Linked DNA regions of Drosophila melanogaster. The protein of the gene in region 1 purifies or fractionates together with the protein of each later gene. This does not show direct contact. Each region holds a gene or a part of one and is shown in the gene's direction. Other genes may lie near its edges. The genes, in order: twz and Doc3.

Region 1 (5,232 bases):
AGGTGTGCGGCATTCGCAGCTTGTCAGTGGCCGCGTTTAACGCTACACTTAAACAAACAGCCGCGTGCGTCCACAAACATCGTACACATGCAACCGCTTACGCACACTTGCACACTCACACACACACGCACACGAATGGCGGCGGAAGTAAGGACAACAACAACAGCAGAAGGCCAGGATGTGGCCGCCTATTAAGTGATTTTAACACTTTGCGCATGAAAATTGCAAAAAGGCAACGGCGCGGCGTTGATAATTATCCCTTAATTGCTTAATGAGCGGCACTTGAGCAGCGCCGTCGACAGAAGCGACGTAAGTTTAATTAATGCCAATTTAATTACCACGCCACACACACACACGCACACACACATGAAAGTGGACGCATTTATGGGCTACTACTTACCGTTGTGTGGCACTTAAAAGCCGCACTTACCGCATAGAATTCTCTCACACTTTGTAAGTGAATTAAAGGCTTACTTGTTGTATATCTTAATCAATCGGATATGTTAAAAATATACAAGTTTTTCATAGCTAATTAGTATTATACAAATATTTAAAGTCTTGAATGCTAGGTATTCATGCAAATTGCTTTTCTTTCTACCATTTGAAATGCAATTTTCCAAAAATTCAAATATCTCGAAAATCACCATTAATAAACACTAATTGCTCCCACATATCTTGTTTATCTAAGTGAGCACTGGTTTATAGTTTCGGCCAGAGCTTCGGCCGACTTGTTTCTGGCCTCGAAGTTGGCCGAATGTCTCTATTAGCCAGGGCCATAAGTTATTTGGTTGTTTGGCTTGATTAATGTTCACCTGCCTGTGTGTTCCGAGGAAAACTTAAATCGAACGATGGACTCGGAAGGGGGACTTACTATTCGTAGCAGCCATTCGGACCTCGCTTTGTAGATTGTCAGTGGCAGCTTAGTTTTCGCTCAACCCTTTTCCATTGCCTGCCGGCCGGGGGCAATCTCTTCTTCCAGTGATCTAATCTTGTTATTGCCCTGACCGCCGTCTCCGGTTCCAGGCCGGCATACCCATAAAGACATACACATATAAACATGGACGAGAGTGATTTAGCTGATGTGCCAATTCAATTATTTCTACCTACATAGGATTTTTCCACATGGCACCGGCAAAACATATAAACACCGATAAATGCCATACATACAACAAGCCATGTGGCATATAAAATAGTGAATGTAATTTTATTCACATGTCTGGCCGCAGGCCAATCCGCTTTGCCCGCCGGCACCAAATTGCACAGCAACAGCAGCAACATCAGCCACCCCGGAACCACACGACGCACCTCTCCGCATCTCGGGTGTCGGTCTTTCTTCGGTGTATATATAAATATGTATATATATATATATATATATATGCCACATTATATGCTGGGTACAGGAAGGGGAAAGGGGAGCGGAGCGGACCAGAGAGCTGAAATCCATCATTGGCGCATGGCCCCGGGTCACATTTGGGTTGAAATATTATAATTACAAGCGAACGCCCGCGGGCAAGGCGAGGAGGAAGGTGAACCGAAGCTGGAGCTCCGGCGTCGAACATTGGCATCGCATCGCGAGCTTAGCTTGGCTAACAACCACACTGGAACAAAAGTCGGCTGCTTAGATAGGAAATTAAAGTATTTCACTGAGAGCAAATTTGAAAGAGTTGAGACCAACTGCTGTCCAAGATGGACTGCCAGTTACAAACAGACGCTTTTAGATAGTTTTTTCTTTCAGTGCATGGAAGGGGGTTGGAGGGAACGGGCCAGTTGGACGGGCGATCGAAGTCGCCTGCTGCGGATATGGATACTTAGTTGTGGTGGTTGTGTTTACGTTGCGGCTGATAACATCCCGTTTTGCTGCTGCCGCCGTCGCTGCTGCGCCAGATGTTGCTGCTGCTGCTGCTGCTGCTGCTGCGGCTGGCGTCGTGCCCCATGTTGCATGCAACACGCTCGACGGCACTCGGCACTTAGACCCCAACGAGCCCCCCCAAAACAGTCTTTTCTCAACGGTGGTTCAGTGTGTTTGTGCCGATGGTGTTTGCTTTTGCCTTCGACAACGGCAGCAGGTGAATAACAGTGTCTCTGGCTATTGCCACATGCTTTTTTGCGTTTGTTTTCGCCCAGCCTGGTAACTTGTTGCACGGCACGTGTTTGGACAACTGGCCGGGTGTCCACATTAGTGGGCGGGGCAGCTGCAGCGCAGGATAACAGAAAACAGAGATGAGTGGCATATAATTTAAGAACAACACCGAGTGCCGGTGCCGTTTGCCTATAATTACCCACAACCAGCTACCAACTAACTGGCCAAAGAATCACAGTTTTTTTTTTGTCCCCCAAAATTCATCTACATACATACCAATGCACAAAAATACACATACATACATATGTACAAAGTCCGGCAGCAGGTGACAAGCAGTGTGAAAAAGCTGGGCGCTGGTACCCTCATTATATGCAAAACGCTGCGTCAGGGCCGCCAGCCACTCAAACTTAACTTATTTTTAACTTGCATATTTTTGCCCATTCTACGGCATTACCTCTGCCACTGCCTCAGCCAGTGCCTCTGCCTCTGAATGTCCTTAGGCCATCTTAGTTGCATGTTCGAGCAATCCTTTCCGTTCCGTTCGCTCGTTCCACCCCAAGAAGCTGGAAATAAAGAACTGGTCCTCTCCCATTCATAACTCGCGGCTATATCTTCTTTTGCGTTATATTTCCCTCATTCTGCTTGTCTCTGGGTATCAACTGTCAGTTTTCGAGCTAAAAACGCCGCCGGCTTAGTTTGTAAATCATTAAAATTATGCACACACACACACACATGCCTCACATCCGCACACACTTATTATGTACAATATGCTAGACTGTGTGTGTGTGTGTGTGTTGGGTTTGGTTGGAGAAGTTGGCCAAACTGCATAGGAATCATTATGCAGTTAATGACAAATGTCACGCATTGCTAATGACAAAAGGATGTCGGCAATCGACTCCAGAAGAGGCCCCTTTCCGTTCCACTTTTGCCCCCTCAATTGAAAGGCACTCTCATTTGCGAGAGTCCAGCTTTCACCGACCCCAAGAAATTGGTAAACAAACTAATAAACATAAAGCAACAAATACAATTCAGCACAATTTACCAAATACGTTGCATGAATAAATATTAATCCTGTGTTAAACAACCATATTTTATTTAGTCACTCCATCATATATATTTATTTTTCCTTTTGGGCAGATTATAGTTTGTTTAATGCATTTTATACCCACCTTTTTGTATGGGCTTTAAGGCACTTAAGTATTGCATTAGAATTAAATGGTGCATTAAAAGTATTTTGGGTCAAACTGAAACAATTGAAATAATGTCAACTGCATTATGGCATTTCGATCGAAACATATTTTTAAATCAAAGCCAAATCCTTTAGAATATAACAAATTCCCAAAAACGTAAGCTTAGCATAAATGGCATAATATGAAGGACCAAAAGGATATTCAGTGGTTATTCTTCTATTGATAATTTAATCAATTTAAAGGACAGCGAGTGATAAAAAGGACACAGCTTTAAAAGCTAAACAAACACCTCATTTTGGCACGCATTGCCTGTAAAATGATTACCATTCAAATGTTAATGTAAATGTTGTGCCACATATGGATGAATTGATGGGTGAATGGGTGGATGGGTGGATATTTTGATAGGTGGATGGGTGGATGGGTGGACGGATGGATGCCCGAATTGCTGTGATGGTTGATATGTGGTCGCGCTTGCTGCCACTGCCGCTGCAGTTCGGTCGTGCGTTAAAAATTTAACACGAATTTCAGGCTGCGGCGGCAAAAATGGCATCATTAAGTAAAAGCCCCGCGGCCAGACATTGTGAATTTTATGAGCCTTTTCATATATATGCTTGTGTATATATGGGTATGCTATATATGTTTTTGTTGCTTCCTCGCTGGGTATCGTTAATAATAAAAAATATATGTTCGCTTGTATGTGTGCGCACCCATCCACACATATACATATATACATACTCGTATATTTTAAAGCCCATCATACACATTTGCCATTTGCCCAGCCTTGTGATGATGAGTGTGTGCTCACATAAATAATAGTAATAATAAAAAATCACAATAATGATGATGCTGATGCTGATGGTGTTGGCGGTCGCGGGTGGCGTAAAAAAATCTGCGGAAATTCTCAGCATATGCGATGGCATTTAAATGTTTGTGTTTTCCCATTCAGCATTCAGTATGATATTGATTGACAAGCAAATGCACAAGCGTTGAATAAATATGCAGGCGAGTGGGCGGTATGCCCGCGGGAGGGCGTGGCGAGCGGGCTACTTTAAAAAGCCATCAACAAATAATTACAAACGAGCGCGTAGGAAGTGTATAAATGTCGACGCTGATTTCTGAGCTGATCCGCGGATTCTCTTTTACTACAATATATATCTTTCTATATATATCTATATATATGTATATACATATGTACTTGATGTATGTGACTCCTTGCACCCATATACACCTACCCCCCACTTCGCCCGCCCACCCCACTGCACTGCCCCCAAGCGATCCAAACAATAAAGCATAAAGCGCGCCGCACACATTTTGTCGAATTATTTTGTTGGCAGTCCGCTGGCGGCTAGCTGCAGCAAATTGGCTTGAAATATTGGTATTGCCATATGTATGAGCTTGTGTATGAGTGACTGAATACGTACGACTCTGCCTCTCTCTCTGTGTACGTGTGTATGTGTGTGTGTGCGTGAGCTTGTGATTAAAAAAATATTTAAAATGGCAAAAACGCAAAGCGACGTCAAAATAAAGAAGCCCGCTACCCCATTTTGCCGCTTGAAACAATAAAAGCCCCCCCCCAACAACCCCCCACAGCATTTCCCATTCCATTTGAGTGAGTGAAATGAGCGATAAAATTGCAACAGTTTCCACTCGTCGTACGCATTTGCTGCGATAAAGGATGAAAAATTGAAATGCCACTGCTCACGCGAAACAATTAAAATTTGACATGTTTTATTGAACACTTTAATGCCGGTATTATTTGCAGTTGGCTCCTCGCAATTTACGTGTGTGTGTCCCTAATTTATATAAAAAAAGTAGTAAGCTAAAACGTTTAAAGGCTATCGTGTAAAAAGATATAAAGAAAATCCCTTCCTTATATATATATATATATTTTTTTTTTTTGCTTACCTGCTTTAAGCTGGCATTCAGACACACGGTACACCATCTCTATGGCAGATCGCCGAT
Region 2 (4,540 bases), on another chromosome or scaffold:
AACAAATTGTAGAGCAGACCCACAAACAGGCAATAATCATAACAATAATTTTGGAAACTGCAGAGAGACACACAAACAGTCGGCGGTCGTCGCACAGCCAGGCCATAAAACTGAAACTGGCATCCTCGCATCATCGAGGCTCTCGCTTTTGTTCCACGGTTGTTCCCGTCGTTGAGGAGGCATCAGCTCGGGGACAAAGTGTGATGATTTTTATGACTCGCCTGTGAGTTTGTGCCGCCAGTGTCGCCCTGCCAACGGCACCGGCACCCGAAATGCAGGACAAGTGGCAACAAGTGGCTGATCCGTTAGACGTATCCCTTTTCCATCCCGTCCTACTACGATGCTCAAGTGGCTCGAAGGCGACAGTGTCTTGGCGCCAGTTTGATTTGATGGCCGCTCCCGGCTGCCGCAATTTGTTGTGGCCCAGCATCGAGTACAAAGTACCATTTAAAGGTCTGATTAGCCGGACTTATCACGGGGCGGATCTCTTTCGAGATTCTCCTTCGCAACGGTAGCGGCGATATTTCGCTGCATCTACAAGATGCACGGCAGATTGCAGATAAGTTAAATGCAACCGAACATATGGGTTCCGATCATGACGGTGGAATAGATAGATCTATGAACTGGTTATCAAAGGTTTGACACTCAAGTGCTGTCTCAAGATGATATGCCGATGATCAAAATGTTAAATAACCTAGAAGATACTTTAGAAGTCATTCGATTTGAAGGATAAGCTGTGGGAAAATAATAATAATAATAATAATAATAGTGCAGTACTAAAATTCTTAACCTAAATTTTAAATCTTTTTGTATAGTATCTCTTTAAATATTCTTGTCTAATAAATACCACTTTTAACAAAGAGTAAATATAAATTACTTGATTTTCACACCTTTATTTTATTTGCCTAGATTTGGCTTCATTATCACATTGATGAATAGTAAAATGCCGACATAAAACAAAATGCTCGTATATTTTTTTTTATATTTTTGTTATAATGATAATGCAATGTTATAAAAGTACTTTGTTTGATAATATTTTTGTTTTTTATCTATTGAATTGTGGCAATTCAACTCAGACTGTAAACACTGATAGTTAACAGAGAGTTAACGAAGATTTTCCAATCTGTTTATTGTTTTTAACATTAACAAAATTGAAAAGAACGATGAATAAATTTATTTCTACAAAGTATTTTGGAAATTCCTCCTCTAATTCTATACGCCTAATGTTTTTCTCGTGCCTCCGAAATTACAGCTTCCCATTTCTGGGACAATGTAATCTCGCCGAACATTATTGGTTGGCCCATATCCAAAACGTTTTCCAGTTCCATAAATATTACAAACGATTAGGCGACTTCAAAGAGCGCTCCCCCGATTCCACGAAGAAAAGCCCCATTCCCCATTGCCGTTCCCTTTCCACGTAACGCTATCAGCAGCAAGATGGGTGCCGTGCCCCCCAGTTCCGTGAGAGGAGGTCACCAGAACCGCTCCACGCGGCGTTACGAAAATGGCGTTCCATCTGGCGCAGCGAGTGCAAGCGGGACGGCGTAACGCTCGCTGATAAGCGACCAATGGCAAAGAGATAAACATACACACATGGCCTGACGCACTGGAAGTGGAAGCGAGAGAGCGGGTGAGTGGCAAGCCACTTGAGCATGAGAACAGGTTAGGCAACTACCTGAGGATAGGGATCGGATCGGATCGGATCGGCAGAGTGAAGAGCGAAGTGAGCGGGAGGAACCCAACCGACCGGATTCTGGCAGAACTGAAGTAGTGCCCGCTCTGAGATTCCGAGAGACAGTCTCAATCTGGACAGCAAAGCGATCAGTTCGTGTTCCAGACGTCGATTGCCCACGGAATAATATCAACGTATCACAAAAATAATAGATTACGCACATAGCTCCACGAAGACCCCAAATATGTTGACCTTGCCCAACATCGCCGATCTGCGATTGCAGCAGCAGATCGCCCAGGAGATATACCGCCAGCAGATTATGCAACGTTTACCCGGTAAGTGGAGCACTCCCTGCGCTTGTGATTTGCCGTCGGCTAACCCAAAGTGTCTACCACAGATCCCCTATGCGGCCTGCTACCCAACTTTGCCGGACACTTTATGCCACCGCCGCCACCGCCGCAACCCACTTTGCCCGGCGATGTGGAGGCCAAGCTGGAGAATAACGAACTCTGGCAGCAGTTCCACAGCATCGGCACCGAGATGATCATCACCAAGTGCGGCAGGTTGGTACCATTTTAAAGTCAACTATTTGCTCGCCCCCATCAGCTTATCTCCCATTGATAAGCCTTCTGCTTACTCTTAAATCTTACGGCGCAAACGTGTCACTAACATCCATTAACCAACGCCTCCATCCCTTTCAGACGCATGTTCCCTTCGATGCGGGTTTCCCTCAGTGGACTGGAGGAGGAGGCCAGCTATTGCGTGCTCCTCGAGATGGTGCCCATTGGCGATTGTCGCTATAAGTTCTCTGGATCCCAGTGGGTGCCGGCCGGAGGAGCCGAGCCCCAGAGCCCGCAGCGCATGTATCTGCATCCGGAGAGTCCAGCCACGGGAAAACACTGGCAATCCCAGGCTCTGCTCTTCAGCAAAGTGAAATTGACGAATAATACGCTGGATAACAATGGTCATGTAAGTAAACTTTGTCAAGAATATTACATAAACAAATTTGATCTTTTGTTCTTGAGTAGAAATATATGTATCTTTGTATATCCTCAAACTAACCGTGTATTTTTCTGTCTCTCCAGATCGTCTTGGCCAGCATGCACAAGTATCAGCCGCGTCTGCACGTCATACGAACCTCTGATCTCGGCCAGATTCCCTGGGCCCCCCAACAGGCCTTTATCTTTCCGGAGACGGAGTTTATAGCCGTAACAGCTTATCAGGTGCGTGGTGCTATATCGCAGTCTAAATATGGCACGTGATAGCTAATCCTCTTGTTTGCATTTGCAGAATGACCGCATAACCAAGCTGAAGATCGACAACAATCCCTTTGCCAAGGGATTCCGTGAGTCGGGTCAGTCGAGATGCAAACGGAAGATCAATGACTCGCCACCGCCAACGCAGCCCGAGGCAAACCAGGTGGATCGAAGCCCGGTGACATCGCCGTTAGCCAAACGGTTGCGACTCGTGGAGGAATTTCCCCAGCACCATCATCACCAGAGTCATCACAGTGTTCCTATGCAGCGTCACTATCTGCTGGATGCTCTGGAGGCCAATTTCTATGTGCCAGCGCCACCGCCGCCGGCCATCGAGTATGCCAGGCACATCGGTGGTGCTTATCCAAGTTGGGCTTACACACCGCCATCGCCGGCCTCCTCTGTCTCGTCCTCCTCGGCGGGCTCGACGAGCGGCGAATCTGCTGCCGACCGAGAGGCAGATGCCGATGCCGACACCTTTGTAGATGTGGTTGGAACCGCACCGGCTGCTCCTCCGCCTCCATCTCCGCCTGTGCCAGCCACTGCTACTGCCCCTGCTTCGTCATCCAGCGATCCGACGATGGCCAAGCCGAAGCGCAGCAGCTTCAGCATCTCGGACATATTAGGAACCAGCTCGTCCATTTAAAACTATCAAGTGCAGACGGGTGCATGTGCTCCCGTTTGGCTTGGAATCGGTGCCTTGTACATTTAATTAGCGTTTAGTTGCCATCGTCTGCGTAGTGTCTAAGCTGAATTGTGATATTTTGCAGTTAATTAGGATTTCCAGGTATTTGCCATCAGTATTTATCGTATTTATTATGCAATTTTAATTGTTCACATGATTTCGTAATGGATTTATTGTCTTTGGCATTTTAATGCGGCATAAATAAAATTGTACGTACATATGTACGTATCCAATGAATTCGATGGAGCTATTTCTGGGATGAAACAATGCGGGGAATGTGAAGCAATTAGATGGGACAGATGCGAAGAGCTTCCAGCTCGAAGATCTGAATAAATTCCCCAATAACTTCCCATGACTGCGCTTCGAATCCTGTTCCTCGAGCAATTTGTGCATGCTGTATGCCTTCCATTTGCCTGTCCTCGCCGAATACATAATTCGGCGTGGTTTTGCCTTTGGTTTCGGTTTCATACATATCTCCCGCATGCGAGGCATAAAAACCAGTTCCTCCAGGCCCCGCACCCGCCCTCCCTCTCCTGCTCCAACTTCTTGTGAAAGAAAGAAGGTTTCTAAGAGCAGAACAACCCACCGGCAAGCAGCAACATCGGCAGCAACAACATGGTCATGGGCTTATCAGCAGATCAGAGCGAGCCGCATCTTAAACGCTGGCGCCGGCGCCAAGTTAAATGCGCTGATTGAGCGCCACGATCACCGGCAAACCTGGCGAGCAGTCCAATTCAAATACCCAATCCACAATCTCCAATCCCCAGGACCCACTACCCACTGCAGCCGTGTAATTGATGTTTTCACATTGTAGTTGTTAGCGAAACTGTGGCCATTTACATACATACATACATGCAATTGTCCGGGTGTCCCATCACACATCTCCATGTTATCGAGCGGAAACGAGGCGGCTCCTTTGATGGACCA

The links.
Region 2: the proteins of twz (region 1) and Doc3 purify together in Drosophila melanogaster (affinity purification with mass spectrometry, with the first as the bait; one large-scale study listed by BioGRID). This does not show direct contact.

The regions. Positions count from the first base shown.
Region 1 is NT_033778.4:21,572,816-21,578,047, reverse strand, and holds the start of twz (tiwaz), read left to right. Parts: upstream 1-2,012; 5' UTR 2,013-2,066; intron 2,067-5,232. UniProt on the Drosophila melanogaster protein: Functions with the transcription factor TfAP-2 to regulate octopamine neuronal signaling pathways that control behaviors such as male aggression, male mating, and the initiation of feeding.
Region 2 is NT_037436.4:9,003,402-9,007,941, forward strand, and holds Doc3 (Dorsocross3), read left to right. Parts: upstream 1-1,794; 5' UTR 1,795-1,916; coding exon 1,917-2,007; intron 2,008-2,069; coding exon 2,070-2,235; intron 2,236-2,373; coding exon 2,374-2,641; intron 2,642-2,757; coding exon 2,758-2,895; intron 2,896-2,962; coding exon 2,963-3,574; 3' UTR 3,575-3,848; downstream 3,849-4,540.